Canis lupus familiaris: one gene and its partners. The main gene of each other region encodes a partner of the protein of the gene in region 2 in a complex. Links are inferred from orthologs where the notes say so. Each region holds a gene or a part of one and is shown on either strand. Other genes may lie near its edges.

Region 1 (4,066 bases), on a different chromosome or scaffold from region 2:
GCGCCTGGCTGGCTCAGTTGGTGGCGCATGGATGGGGCTCTTGATGTGGGGGCTCTAAGTTTGAGCCCCACATTGGGTGTAGAATCACTTAATAATAAAAATCTTCCCTTTTTAAAAAAAAAAAAAAGGTAAAATCAAAGAAATAAATCAGATACTCTCTTAAGTCCGATGTAAACAAATGGTAGAGGAAGCCGAAGTTCCAAGGGAGAGTAGGGGAGGGAAAAAAAAAAAAAAAAACCCTGCCGTACAGGTTCCTCACTTTTCTGCAAACTTTGTAAAGCTCGCCACTAGGAGGCAGTACCGAGTGATGGGCAAAGCTGCTCGCTCAGGAGGCCCAAGGGCAGAGGGCAGGGGCTCTAATCCCACACGCCAACCCTCTGGGACACTAGCTTCATCTTCACAGTGGACGCTGGTTTCCTCATGTTCTGCCCTCTGTTGTCTAGACTGAGTGAGGTACGGCAGTGTAAGTGCCTGGAACACAACTTGGCATTTAGTAAACGCCCAATAAACACCAGCTATTATTATTATTATTATCATCCTAATTGTCCTTGGGGGGGGGGGGGGGGGCCTCCGTCCGGCCCGAGAATCACCCAAACTTCAAGCATCTCCACCCCCGACAGGGGGGAAAGCCCTGGCCTTGCTCCTGTCGGATGCCGCAGCCCGCCCCCCCCCCCGCCCCCGCGGTACCCAGGCCGTGCAGAGGTGCCCGTGTGCACTTGACAGGCATCGCCTCACTCCGACCCCGGTACAAACACTCGGCTGAAGACCAGCAATAAAAGCAGGCCGTGGCTCCTCCTCCGGGCCTCCGTTCTACTTGGGAGCTGGTGGCCGCCGCCCGAATCCACTGCGCATTCAGCCCGCTCCAAGGAGGGCCCTGGGACAACCTCCCGACAGCGGGGAGGGCGACCAGCTGCAGAGTGGCACCCGCGGGCCCACAGCGAGGGTTTCCATGGCAACCTGGCCCTCCGCTCCGGGCCCACCGCAGCCCCTCGCGGGGCCGGGGGCCACGGCAGGCCTCGGAAGCCCTCCATTTGCTCCGGAGCTCAGCCCGCGGCCGCGCGGCCCGACGCACCTACCTCTTTCCAAGCCTGCTCGGCCTCCTCCCGGAACCCCGGCGGCGCCCACCGCGAATCTTCAGCTAAGCGAGCGGGACTACACTTCCCAGACTGCTCTGCAGAGTCTCGTCCGCCGCGTGCTTTTCTCCTTAAGTTCACGCTACTCTTGGCGCCACGACGCTTCCCTACTACTACTCCCGTCATGCCCCACGCCACCCACGACGCTGCGTCGGCCCACTTCCGGCCAGTGACGCAGTTCCGCTTTGCCGGGCGCGCGGTGGACGGTCTGAAAACGCAGAGCTCGGCTTTCGCCGGGGTTTGGCGGCCGCGGAGCTCAGCATGGCTTCCTCACGAGCCGCCTCCACGGTACGGAACTCCACTCACTCTGGCGGGGAGCGCGGAAGGGGCTGGGGGGGCGGTTCCTGCGAAATGGGGTCCCTCGGGGAACGGGCTAAGGCGGTGGAGGTCGGAGGTGAAAGGCTGAGAGACTCGGTCCTTAGAGGAGCAGCGTTTTCCAGACCCCGAAGTACGTTCCCGTGTTTTATTTATTTTTATTTTTGTAAAGATTTTATTCATTCATTCATGAGAGACACAGAGAAAGGGGCAGAGGCACAGGCAGAGGGAGGAGAAGCAGGCTCAAGGCAGGGAGCCTGATGCGGGACTCGATCCCTGGACTCCAGGATCACGCCCTGGGCCGAAGGCAGCGCTAAACGGCTGAGCCACCCAGGGATCCCCCCGTTCCCGTGTTTTAATTCATTTGCACCCCTCACTACAGGCCCGAACGGTAAATACCTCTTCCGACTGCTCCAAAACCTGAGCTCTAGAAGGCCCAGATTCACGTCTGTGTCAGACTTCATTGCAGTTTGGCCTCCTAACTTCATATGTGTTGCCTTACTCTGAAAACGTTTGAAATGTACCGAAAAGTAACTAACTTGCCCCCCTTTAATACTGCGTTGGTTGTTCTCCTTGATACTGCCCCTGTGATGAGGGGTAACCTTGGAAATTTCATAAAACCCAAGAAGAGGTTGCCACGGAATGATGCAGACATGTTCCAAAGCAAATCTTTGATAGAAAAGTTACCAAGAATAATGATGGACTAGTTCTATTAGCCTCTTCCCGTCTGCAGAACCTAAGTAGCTTGGAGAGACACCCCGCCCCCCAGTCAGTGAAGATAACCTGAACTGGTGTCCGACCTGTCCTTTTCATTTGGGGGGAAAATAGGATTGAAGCTCAGGATGAGCTCCATCCTTTGGGGGAAGCCTAATAAGTGGTTAGTATCAGACCTTAGGTTAATCCGTGTCTTTGATTTATCAGGCAACCAAAACTAAGGCACCTGATGACTTAGTTGCTCCTGTTGTGAAGAAACCACACATCTATTACGGAAGTTTGGAAGAGAAGGAGAGGGAGCGTCTGGCCAAAGGAGAGTCTGGGATTTTGGGAAAAGAAGGACTTAAAGCTGGAATTGAAGCAGGAAATATTAACATAACCTCTGGTAAGATGCAAATTGTGAGTCCCTCTTTATCTTTGTATTATAATATCAAAAATGTTAGTTAAACTTGGATCTATGTAAGGCCATCCTTTGCCTACCCTGGTTAGCATCATCTAGAGAGCCTTTTTCTTTCTTTTTTTTTTTTTTTTTTTTTAAGATTTTATTTATTTATTCATGAGAGACAGAGAGAGAGAGAGAGAGGCAGAAACATAGGCAGAGTCAGAAGCAGGCTCCATACAGGGAGCCCGACATGGGACCCGACCCCAGGATCCCACCCTGGTCCAAAGGCAGGCTCTAAACCACTGAGCCACCCAGGGATCCCATAAAGATTTTATTTATTTATTTTTTTAAGATTTTATTTATTTTTTATGAGAGAGAGAGAGAGACAGAGAGAGGCAGAGACAAAGGCAGAGGGAGAAGCAGGCTCCATGCAGGGAGCCCGACGCAGGACTCGATCCTGGGACTCCAGGATCATGTCCTGAGCCGAAGGCAGATGCTCAACCGCTGAACCACCCAAGGTTGTGAGTTCAAGCCCAGAGTTGGGCTCCACACCCACACTTAAAAAAAAAAAAATCCTCATAGTCAGTGTGTGTTTTATTTATTTATTTTATTATTTATTTATTAGAGCATGAGCCAGGGAGGGGCAGAGAAGCAGATACCCCACTGAGCAGGAAGCCTCACTTGAGACTCGATCCCAGGACTATGGGATCATGACCTGAGCGAAAGGCAGATGCTTAACCGACTAAGCCACCCAGATGCCCCAGTGTTGGTTTTAAAACTAACTGCTAGGTTATCCAAAAAGTCTATAGTTAAGGGAAAGCCCTTTAATGGTAATTTTCTCCAGTTTACTAGTTAAAGTCATAGATATCCTCAGCTGGGGCTGGTTTAGAGAATAGGTTTGGCAAGTGTTAAAGTACTGTATCTATTTTATCTTCTGGATAGAAGATCTAGTTAACTCATTTGCTGAAAGTGCTTTGTACTTCTACTTTCTGATCTCCTCTAAGTTATGTGTGTATGTAGATGTAAGGTTGTCAAAACAAGATGATGTGAGGTAAGCCTGCGTGGCTCAGTTGGTTAAGCGTCCAACTCTTGGTTTTGGCTCATGTCGCGATCTCAGGGTGGTAGGTTCTGAGCCCTGTGTTGGGCTCCCTGCTCTACAGGGAGTCTGCTTCTCCTCCCTCTGTTCCTCCCTGCACTCCTGCACTGTCTCTCTCGCTCTCTCTCGTAAATAAATAAAATCTTTAAAAAAAAAAAAAAAAGATGACTTAAGTAATTTTAAATGAGCTATCATTTAGTTTTTTGTGTTTAGCAAAATTTAATAAACTGAGAAACAATAAAGTATGTAATAAATTAGTTCCTAGAGGATACACAGACTGCAATTGTAAGAAATTATTTTCCCCTCTGTTTGAAGATCTAGTGATAATGCTGATATTACCTGTTCTTCTTATAGGAGAGGTGTTTGAAATTGAAGAGCACATCAGTGAACGACAGGCCGAAGTGTTAGCTGAGTTTGAGAGAAGAA
Region 2 (4,228 bases):
CCCAAAGACAGAACCCACCAGAAGGCACTCCAACAGGCACTCTACTCCAAGCCCAAGTCAAGAGTCTAGCCCCTAAGATAACAATTAAATGCTTTATGGGAAATATAACGTGTAATTTCTGGTGGTGCTGGGAAGAGGCTGCAGGTTGGGAGTAGGAGGTAGCAGGAAGCAGCAGGCTTAGCTTGCCCCATCACCCAGGAGCTTTGGTTGTGGAGCTGCCCCCACCAGCACACACAGCTCTGCTTCTGCTCCTGAGTGGATCATCTCACAGAGCAACAGCTGTGACTCCTCCACTCCCATTTCCAACATTTATGCTGGGTCCTAGGAATTCAAGAGGGAACAGGACCTAATGGCCTCTGCCTTTGAGAACTCAGGGTGGGAGGGGAGGAGGTTTGGATCCTTAAAGGGGTACGTATCTTACACTGTAACCAGTGGTTTGCACAGGGGCCGCCAGTCCCAGCAACTGGGGGTTGCGGGTCAGAGGAGGAATTATGTGAATTGCGATTTTACTTTTTAAAAGACTTTGTTTATTCATGAGACACACAGAGATGTAGCCAAAGGGAGAAGCAGGCTCCCTCTGGGGAGCCCGACAGGAACTGGGTCCGGGATTACGACCTGAGCCAGAGGCAGACGCTCAACTACTGAGCCACCCATGCGCCTTGGGATTTTAACTTCTAAGTAACTTCAAATTTGGGCCCCCAAGGAGGGGGGTGGGAATGAGCTCACATACCCAGTCGTGCTGTGTGGAATTTTGCAGTTTCTGGGGGTTCAAAGTACAGATTTAAAAACCCAATCCAAGGTGAGGGGGGTGCCTGGGTGGCGTCTCCCACTCTTGGTTTCGGCTCAGGTACGATCTCAGGGTTCAGCTGGCCCTTGTCTCCCTCTCCTTGCCGCTCCCGCTTACGCGCTCTCTCAAATAAGTAGATCTTAAAAAAAAAGAAACAAAAGACAAGGAAAAAAGAACCCAATACGAGTAAGGTGGAAAGGCAGCATTTGATAATATCGGGTGTAGGGGCTCAGAGGCTGGGCTGGGTCTCAAAACAAGCTGCGGCGTCCCACACCCGATGGAGCCACGACGAGGGGGCGGGGGCGGGTGGAGCCCACCGGGAGGACGCCGACTGGAGCGGCGGGCGCGGTGCACGGTAAAACCGGTAAACCCGTGAGGCAGGGAGCGTCTGGTGGCGGGGGGGGGGGCGCCTCCAGCTCCCAGATTGCCGGCTTTAAGGGCTTATAGTTCGGAGGCCTGTAACCCCTACACCCGGCGCACGCACGCACTTCGAAGACCGCCACCAGACCAACAGCTCCGCAAACACGCAGCCGGGCTCCAACCCCGGCCTTCCCGTGAGCCCTCGGGGCAGGCACCGAGGCGAACGGCGGAAGCAGCCACTCTTGGTTTCCGGCAACACGACAGCGGCTGCCGGGCGACCCGGAAGTAGTCCCATTTTGCGTCGTCGGGGCTCGGCGGCGGCCGGGCTCGGGGCGGACGTACCACCATGGGGTCGTCAAAGAAGCACCGTGGGGAGAAAGAGGCGGCCGGGACGACGGCGGCGGCCAGCACCGGAGGCGCCACCGAGCAGCCGCCGCGGCACCGGGAGCACAAAAAACACAAGCACCGGAGCGGCGGTGGCGGGAGCAGCGGTGGCGAACGTCGGAAGCGGAGTCGGGAGCGTGGGGGCGAGCGCGGGGGCGGGCGGCGCGGGACCGAAGCCGAGACACGCAGCGGCGCGCACGGGCGGGAGCGCGGCCAGGCTGAGCCCTCAGAGCGGCGCGTGAAGCGGGAGAAGCGCGATGACGGCTACGAGGCCGGTGAGGGCGGGGCCTGTGGGGGCGGGGCGGGGCGTCCCGGGGCGGGCGGTCTGGCCTGGGTGCGAGCCGAGCGCTGCCGCCCCGGCTCCCCGACGCTGTCTCCGTCAGCAATTATTAGAGAGTCTCCCCGTTTGGGATTAAAAGTTGTCTCTCTCTACTAACCTCTGCGAGGGCAGAGGTTTTCTGTTGTCTCAAAATTGGCCCCTCACAGGCCCTTATTTGTTGAGTGAATGAATCAATGAAGTTGTTCTAGCTCGTGCAGAACCAAGAAGAAACCTGATATTGGGCAAACCGGGTAGGGTTCATAGCAGAGATAGGAAACCGGTCGGAGCACAAAGGGCCCTACAGAAATTTGAATTTTGTCTTGAGGGTGGTAGAGAGCCATGGATTTAAGCTGAGGAATGAGTTGATCATATTTTGCAAAGATTCCTAGATTGAGACCTGGTTCAAAAATAGTCAAGACTGGAGGCCACGTGAGGATTGATAGTGGCGTGTGCTGAGGCAGCGGAGGGTGGAGAGACCTGAACAGATTGAAGAACCGTTTGGGAGGAGGAATTAGAGCTTACTTAGCACTTGGGTGAGGGTAAGAAGGAAATGAGGATGGCTCCTTAAATTTTGGTTTGAGCAACTGGGTGGGTGGTTGTGTCTCCTGAAATTGAGGACTTTGGGAGAGAAGCAGACTTTTGAGGGGAGAGAGTTCAGTTGTGGAGAGCATTGCAACCGATAGGGTTTGGGCTGGATAGAGCAATTTGGAAGTCATAAGTAAATCAGGTGGCAAATGAAGCCTGGCGAGAGAGTAAGGAGTGGGCAGTAGAACCTTAAAAATGCCAGCATTTTCGTAGTAGGTAGAGTAAGAGGCTATAAGAATGCTTGATGGTACAATATCCAGAAAAGAAAACTATAGAATCTTGTGTCATGGGGTCTGTTGCAAAGAATAGTCAATGGTGTCACACACACCACAGAAAATAAAGGAAATTCGAGCTGAAAAGAATCCGTTGGATTTAGAAATAAGGAGGCTGGTGACCTTGGAGAGAGCCTAGAAAGGTTGAGATCCAGGGTCCAGGTGAGGTATAGGGGAAGAGGTAGGTTATGGAGTGGGGACGCAGGAAGGATGAACAGGTGGTAGCACCTGGGTGGGGAAGCTCCATCTGGTGGCGTCTAGCCTCTGTCTGTGTGTTGTGTTCCGAAGTTACTTGCTGAGTGAGAGATGAGTAGAGGAAGTCTGAAAAGCTACTTTATCTCAGCATCCTCACTATCCATCGCAAAACAGGGACCATTAAGTGTATTTCTTGACTGGATGAACTGCGCAGAGAACACAGTCATGCTGCTAACACAGTCCCTGACCAGTGGGGAGAAACAGACCTGGAAGTGAGTGATGAGCTGTGGAGTTCAGGAGAGAGCAGTTCATTCTGACCAATAATTAAATAGGAGTTCAGAAGGAGGTGGCATTTGGTCTCAGCATTTGGATAGGATCTCGTCTATCAGAGTTAGGCCAAGGAGGGCAGTGTGGGCTGAAAACAGAATGTACAGAAGTGGAGAGGAGGCAGAGTGAAGGCTGCAAAAAGGTTGGACCTTTTGGGGCAGGAAAGGAAGGTTATGTTGGGGTCTCAAGAGATTGGGACTGAGATGGAAGGAGCTACTGAGATGGAGGAAGGTTGCTGTTTTCGAGTGTCTCAGTAGGGCCCGGGTATGGGTAAGGGAGGTCCCTGCAGAGCTCGAGCCAAAGATGTGGTTTGTTGGCCCTTTGTTCAGCTCCTGAACTATACTTCTTGTTCCAGCTGCCAGCTCCAAAAGTAGCTCAGGAGATGCCTCATCTCTTAGCATCGAGGAGACCAAGTAAGTTCTGTCTTCCTGATGTTTCTACTTTTATTTTCTGAGACAGAGGGCTTCTGGGAACAGTTTCCTGGGGGACCATTCACACACTAAGGCATTCTGACTGGAATTGGAAATGACGTATAACCATTTGAGTTACAGAAAAGACGCTAAGACCCAAGAGAAAGATGGTCTTCTGCTGGTTAGGGGCAGGCCAGGCCTAGTGCCTGTGTTCCCTGATTTGGAGGCCAGCATCCTTCCCAATGTCCTTGGCTGCCTGGGTCAGTCTCTGCTTTGGGGACCCTTAGGACTTCTCAGTTCCATCCTGTTTTCACTCTCTATCCAGAAATGTCTCTGATGTCCCTATTTTGTTGGCAGCTCCTAACATGTGTATCTCTTGTCCTCAGTAAACTCCGGGCAAAGTTGGGGCTGAAACCCTTGGAAGTCAATGCTGTCAAGAAGGGTGAGTGTGGGACTGAGGATGGGGGTGAGGGAGGGCATTTGGGTGGAGGAGAAAGATCATCTGAAGGGGTCTTTGAGGAGGATGGGGTTATGGCACAGGTTCAGCACCATTTAGTGGCCATGTGTGTGTATGTGTGTGTGTACACAC
Region 3 (3,411 bases), on a different chromosome or scaffold from region 2:
CTCCTTCCTTTGTCACCTTAATCTGGAAGAGAGGGTGTCTATGCCGCAGTGGTAGCCTAGTCCTTAGAGTGTGATCACGAGGTCCTGGGCTCGAGTCCCACATCACGTTCCCCGCAGGGAGCCTGCTTTTCCTTCTGCCTATGTGTCTGCCTCTCTCTGTCTCTCATGAATAAATAAACAAATCTTTTTTAAAAGACAGAGAGACAGAGAAGGTGGATGGAGCAAATCAGAAGCAGCAGCTCATTTTCAGAGCGAATCCCTTTAGGCTCACCAAACTGGGAAAATCCTGTCTGCAGAGAAAGAACAGCCTAATGGTTCCATTGGCAGTGAAGGGGCTGCTCTGGGGCTGAAGGGCAAGGCTGAGATCTGGTACAAGGTGCTCCCTGCAGGGCTGGGGTGACCTTCCTCAATCACACAAACCCGGGTAATCACCCTCTTCTGTCGTTTCCACTCGACTTGCCCATCATGCTGGTTGGCATGCAACTTGGACTCCATTCTAAAGATTGATTGATTGATGAGAGACACAGAGACAGAGGCAGAGACAAGGGCAGAGGGAGAAGCAGGCTCCCTGTGGGGAGCCTGATGCGGGACCCCATCCCAGGATCTGAGCCAAAGGCAGACCCTCAACCACTGGGCCACCTAGGCGGCCCTTTACCCAAAAAAAAAAAAAAAAATGTTTTAAGATTTTTATTTATTCATGAGAGACGCAGAGAGAGAGGCAGAGACAGCAGAGGAGAGAACGGGACTCCGGACTGGTGCGTGCTGGTATCCAGGACGTGATCAGGAGGCCGCTTTGCTGACTGTGGTCTGCGCCCAGGTGTGTGTGTCGGGGTGCAAGGGGGGGAAGCGATGGCCAAAGGGAGGGGTGGGCAAAACGCTTCCAAGTCCCCGCCCCCAGTGAAGGGAGGGGGCCCGAGATGACAGCACGACTTCACCCAGGCTCCTCCTCGCCCTGAAGCTGAGGCTCCACTGAGAGGCTCCATCGGGCTCCGGAACGAAAAGTCACCACCCCCACGGGGCGTCCCCGGGCTCCCCTGATGTTCCCACCAGACGCCACACGAGGCCGCGGCAACCCACACCTTCCGACGGAAGGGGGATCTCTCTGCCCGGCCCCTGACCTCTGACTTTGCTTTCACGCCCCTTCCCCGGCCACGCACAAACCGGGACCCCAACGCGGCCCCACGCACCGACGGGCGAGTATTCTCTGCCCAAACTCGGGACCCCGAAGCGGCGCTCGGAACCTGCCTTGACCGGAAGAAAGCCGGAGCGGTGTTGAGCCGGGAGCGGGGAGGGCGCTTCCGGTTGTTCACTTCCGCTTCCGGCTCTCGGCGTCTACTCTAACCCGGGCTCCGCCCTCGAGCGAGGAGTTTGTGGCGTCGGCGGGTTCCAGGCGATTCGAGGTGAGGGGCTGGTGGGAGAGGCGCAGAGTCGGGGAAAGCGGACGGACCTGGCCATCAAGGGTGTGCGCGTCTGCGAAAGGCGAGGCCGGGCCTTCAGGCGACCTGAGCGGGGAGGCGCGGCCGCCTGGGGTCCGCGGTCCTGGGAGTTGGGGCCTAGGAGGACCGCGAATCTGGGAGGTTGAGGGGTGAACGTAAGACTCAAACCCGGGGTCTTGGCTCTTGGGAGACCCCTGAAGTCCTGACTGCTGCCTTCCACCCCACGCCGTGTGTAGCTCCAGACAGGATGATCGAGGTTGTTTGCAACGACCGTCTAGGGAAGAAGGTCCGCGTTAAGTGCAAGTATCCACCCGCGGCTGAGAGGCAGTGGTTCCTGGGGTGCTTGATGTGAGGCAGGCATCTCCGTGTGTGCTGTAGGGTGACTTTAGTTAAACCCGGGGGAGTGGGCGGGTGGGGGCCTGGCAGGGCGCCTTCAGCCCTGGGATGTCCTCTTCCCCGTTCTCCCTTCCGTTTTCCTTAACTCGTCTGCGCCCAGCACTGATGACACCATCGGGGACCTTAAGAAGCTGATCGCAGCCCAAACTGGCACCCGTTGGAACAAGATCGTCCTGAAGAAGTGGTGAGTGCAGCGGTGGAACTGGGGACTGGATGGGACTGGGCCAGAAGGTTTGGGTGGGGGAGCCCTGTGGGCTTAGGCAGAGCTTCCTCAGCTTGCCTCCTGCATGAAAATCCACCTCAGACTTCAAATTCAAAAGGTTTCTATCCCACAGGTACACGATTTTCAAGGACCACGTGTCTTTGGGGGACTGTATCCTTTGCGTGACTTCTTGAGGAAGGCTCTGTATACCAGACTTGGTTCTCTTTGTTCGGTGCTGGAGTCTGTATGAGATGGTGCACATAAAGTATTTAACTTAGAATGTAGCACACAGTAAGCATTTGGAAAATGGGATCCAAAGAAAAAAGAAAGAAAGAAAATGGAAGCCATGTCATGTTGGTTAGGGGTGGAGGGTGGTTGATGAAATGCTTTGGCTTGGCTTAGAAGAAACTTGAAGGTCTAAATATTTATTACTGATCTCTACCTGAGTGTGGACAAGTGGTCAGGGTGGAGTGAGACTCAGGCATGTCTGTTGTGCAACAGGAGCGTGAACCTTTGTTTTTTTTATAGTTCTGATTCTTTTCAAATCAAAATTGACCTAGTTCAAAATGGCTCCCTTGGCCCTGGGTGGAGCCCTCAGGCCACCCTGACCCACCTGTGCAAGATGAGAGGGTGGAGATGGAGCCCACAGTGAGAGTTCCTTAACGTTTTTTACTTCAGATGAAATCCACGATGGGATGAACCTGGAGCTTTATTACCAATAGAGCAGAATTCCTTCCATTTGTCCTGTCCTGCCTCCCCCCCCACCCCGCTCCTCTCCCCTCCTGTTGGCTCCTCTCCCCTCTTCACTACCATCTCCCCCACACTGATACGGATGCTTGTTTTTAAAAACTCATGTTAATAAAATCTTAGAAGTTGCTTCATTGTTGTCATCTTTGAAGGAGGTCTTTTCTAACGTGGGAGGGTTGTCACTATACTCTCAGTACCCAGCAGCTCAATAAAGAGTTCAGGATCCAACTGGATCAGTGAGGGAAGAGTAAGCCAGCAGCTTGGGAGCCTGAATGGAAGCTCTGGGATTTGCCAAGGGTCTGTGAAGGTCGAGAGATCCGTGGGATTATTGGCATCCTAATAGATCAAGGGGGTCTGGGTAAGGACAGTAGATACAGTAGTTAGGAATACAGGTTCTGGATTCAGACCGACTATGGTTGGAATCCCAGCTCTGCCACTGCTGTGATCCTGGGCCAGGGTAGTTAATGCCTTCATTTCCTTATCCAAACTGGAACTGATAGTGTTTACTTAATTGCCTTGTTGTGAAATGTGTAGATGAGCTAAAGCATGATTAAGCAGCCACAGTTCCTTGGATTTTGGAAATTCAAGTGAACAGAGACTGTGGTTTAGGCTAGGCTTTGATCATTAGTG

What was found. The genes of interacting proteins can lie anywhere in the genome.
Region 1: SART1 (region 2) and PRPF4 share a complex: the UniProt entries of both Homo sapiens proteins name them as parts of the U4/U6-U5 tri-snRNP complex. The link is inferred for Canis lupus familiaris from reciprocal best matches to the Homo sapiens genes SART1 and PRPF4.
Region 3: the proteins of SART1 (region 2) and UBL5 are in contact, whole or in part, in a crystal structure (PDB 4PYU), measured with the Homo sapiens proteins. The link is inferred for Canis lupus familiaris from reciprocal best matches to the Homo sapiens genes SART1 and UBL5. Residues at the interface, in NP_005137.1 of Homo sapiens: Ser117, Leu118, Ser119, Ile120, Thr123, Leu126, Arg127, Leu130, Leu132, Lys133, Leu135; in NP_001041706.1 of Homo sapiens: Met1, Glu3, Arg15, Lys17, Cys18, Asn19, Asp21, Asp22, Asp26, Lys29, Leu30, Ala33, Gln34.

The regions. Positions count from the first base shown.
Region 1 is NC_049232.1:68,050,454-68,054,519, forward strand, and holds the start of PRPF4 (U4/U6 small nuclear ribonucleoprotein Prp4), read left to right. Parts: upstream 1-1,266; 5' UTR 1,267-1,394; coding exon 1,395-1,421; intron 1,422-2,369; coding exon 2,370-2,547; intron 2,548-3,994; coding exon 3,995-4,066. UniProt on the Homo sapiens protein: Plays a role in pre-mRNA splicing as component of the U4/U6-U5 tri-snRNP complex that is involved in spliceosome assembly, and as component of the precatalytic spliceosome (spliceosome B complex).
Region 2 is NC_049239.1:51,813,363-51,817,590, reverse strand, and holds the start of SART1 (U4/U6.U5 tri-snRNP-associated protein 1), read left to right. Parts: upstream 1-1,428; 5' UTR 1,429-1,493; coding exon 1,494-1,806; intron 1,807-2,003; exon of another isoform or gene 2,004-2,101; intron 2,102-3,584; coding exon 3,585-3,642; intron 3,643-4,025; coding exon 4,026-4,081; intron 4,082-4,228. Other genes in the region: TSGA10IP (testis-specific protein 10-interacting protein), read left to right, coding at 1-76. UniProt on the Homo sapiens protein: Plays a role in mRNA splicing as a component of the U4/U6-U5 tri-snRNP, one of the building blocks of the spliceosome. May also bind to DNA.
Region 3 is NC_049241.1:51,569,494-51,572,904, reverse strand, and holds UBL5 (ubiquitin-like protein 5), read left to right. Parts: upstream 1-1,246; 5' UTR 1,247-1,400; intron 1,401-1,672; 5' UTR 1,673-1,683; coding exon 1,684-1,739; intron 1,740-1,932; coding exon 1,933-2,016; intron 2,017-2,167; coding exon 2,168-2,205; intron 2,206-2,712; coding exon 2,713-2,756; 3' UTR 2,757-2,911; downstream 2,912-3,411. UniProt on the Homo sapiens protein: Ubiquitin-like protein that plays a role in cell proliferation and sister chromatid cohesion by associating with spliceosomal proteins. Participates thereby in pre-mRNA splicing by maintaining spliceosome integrity.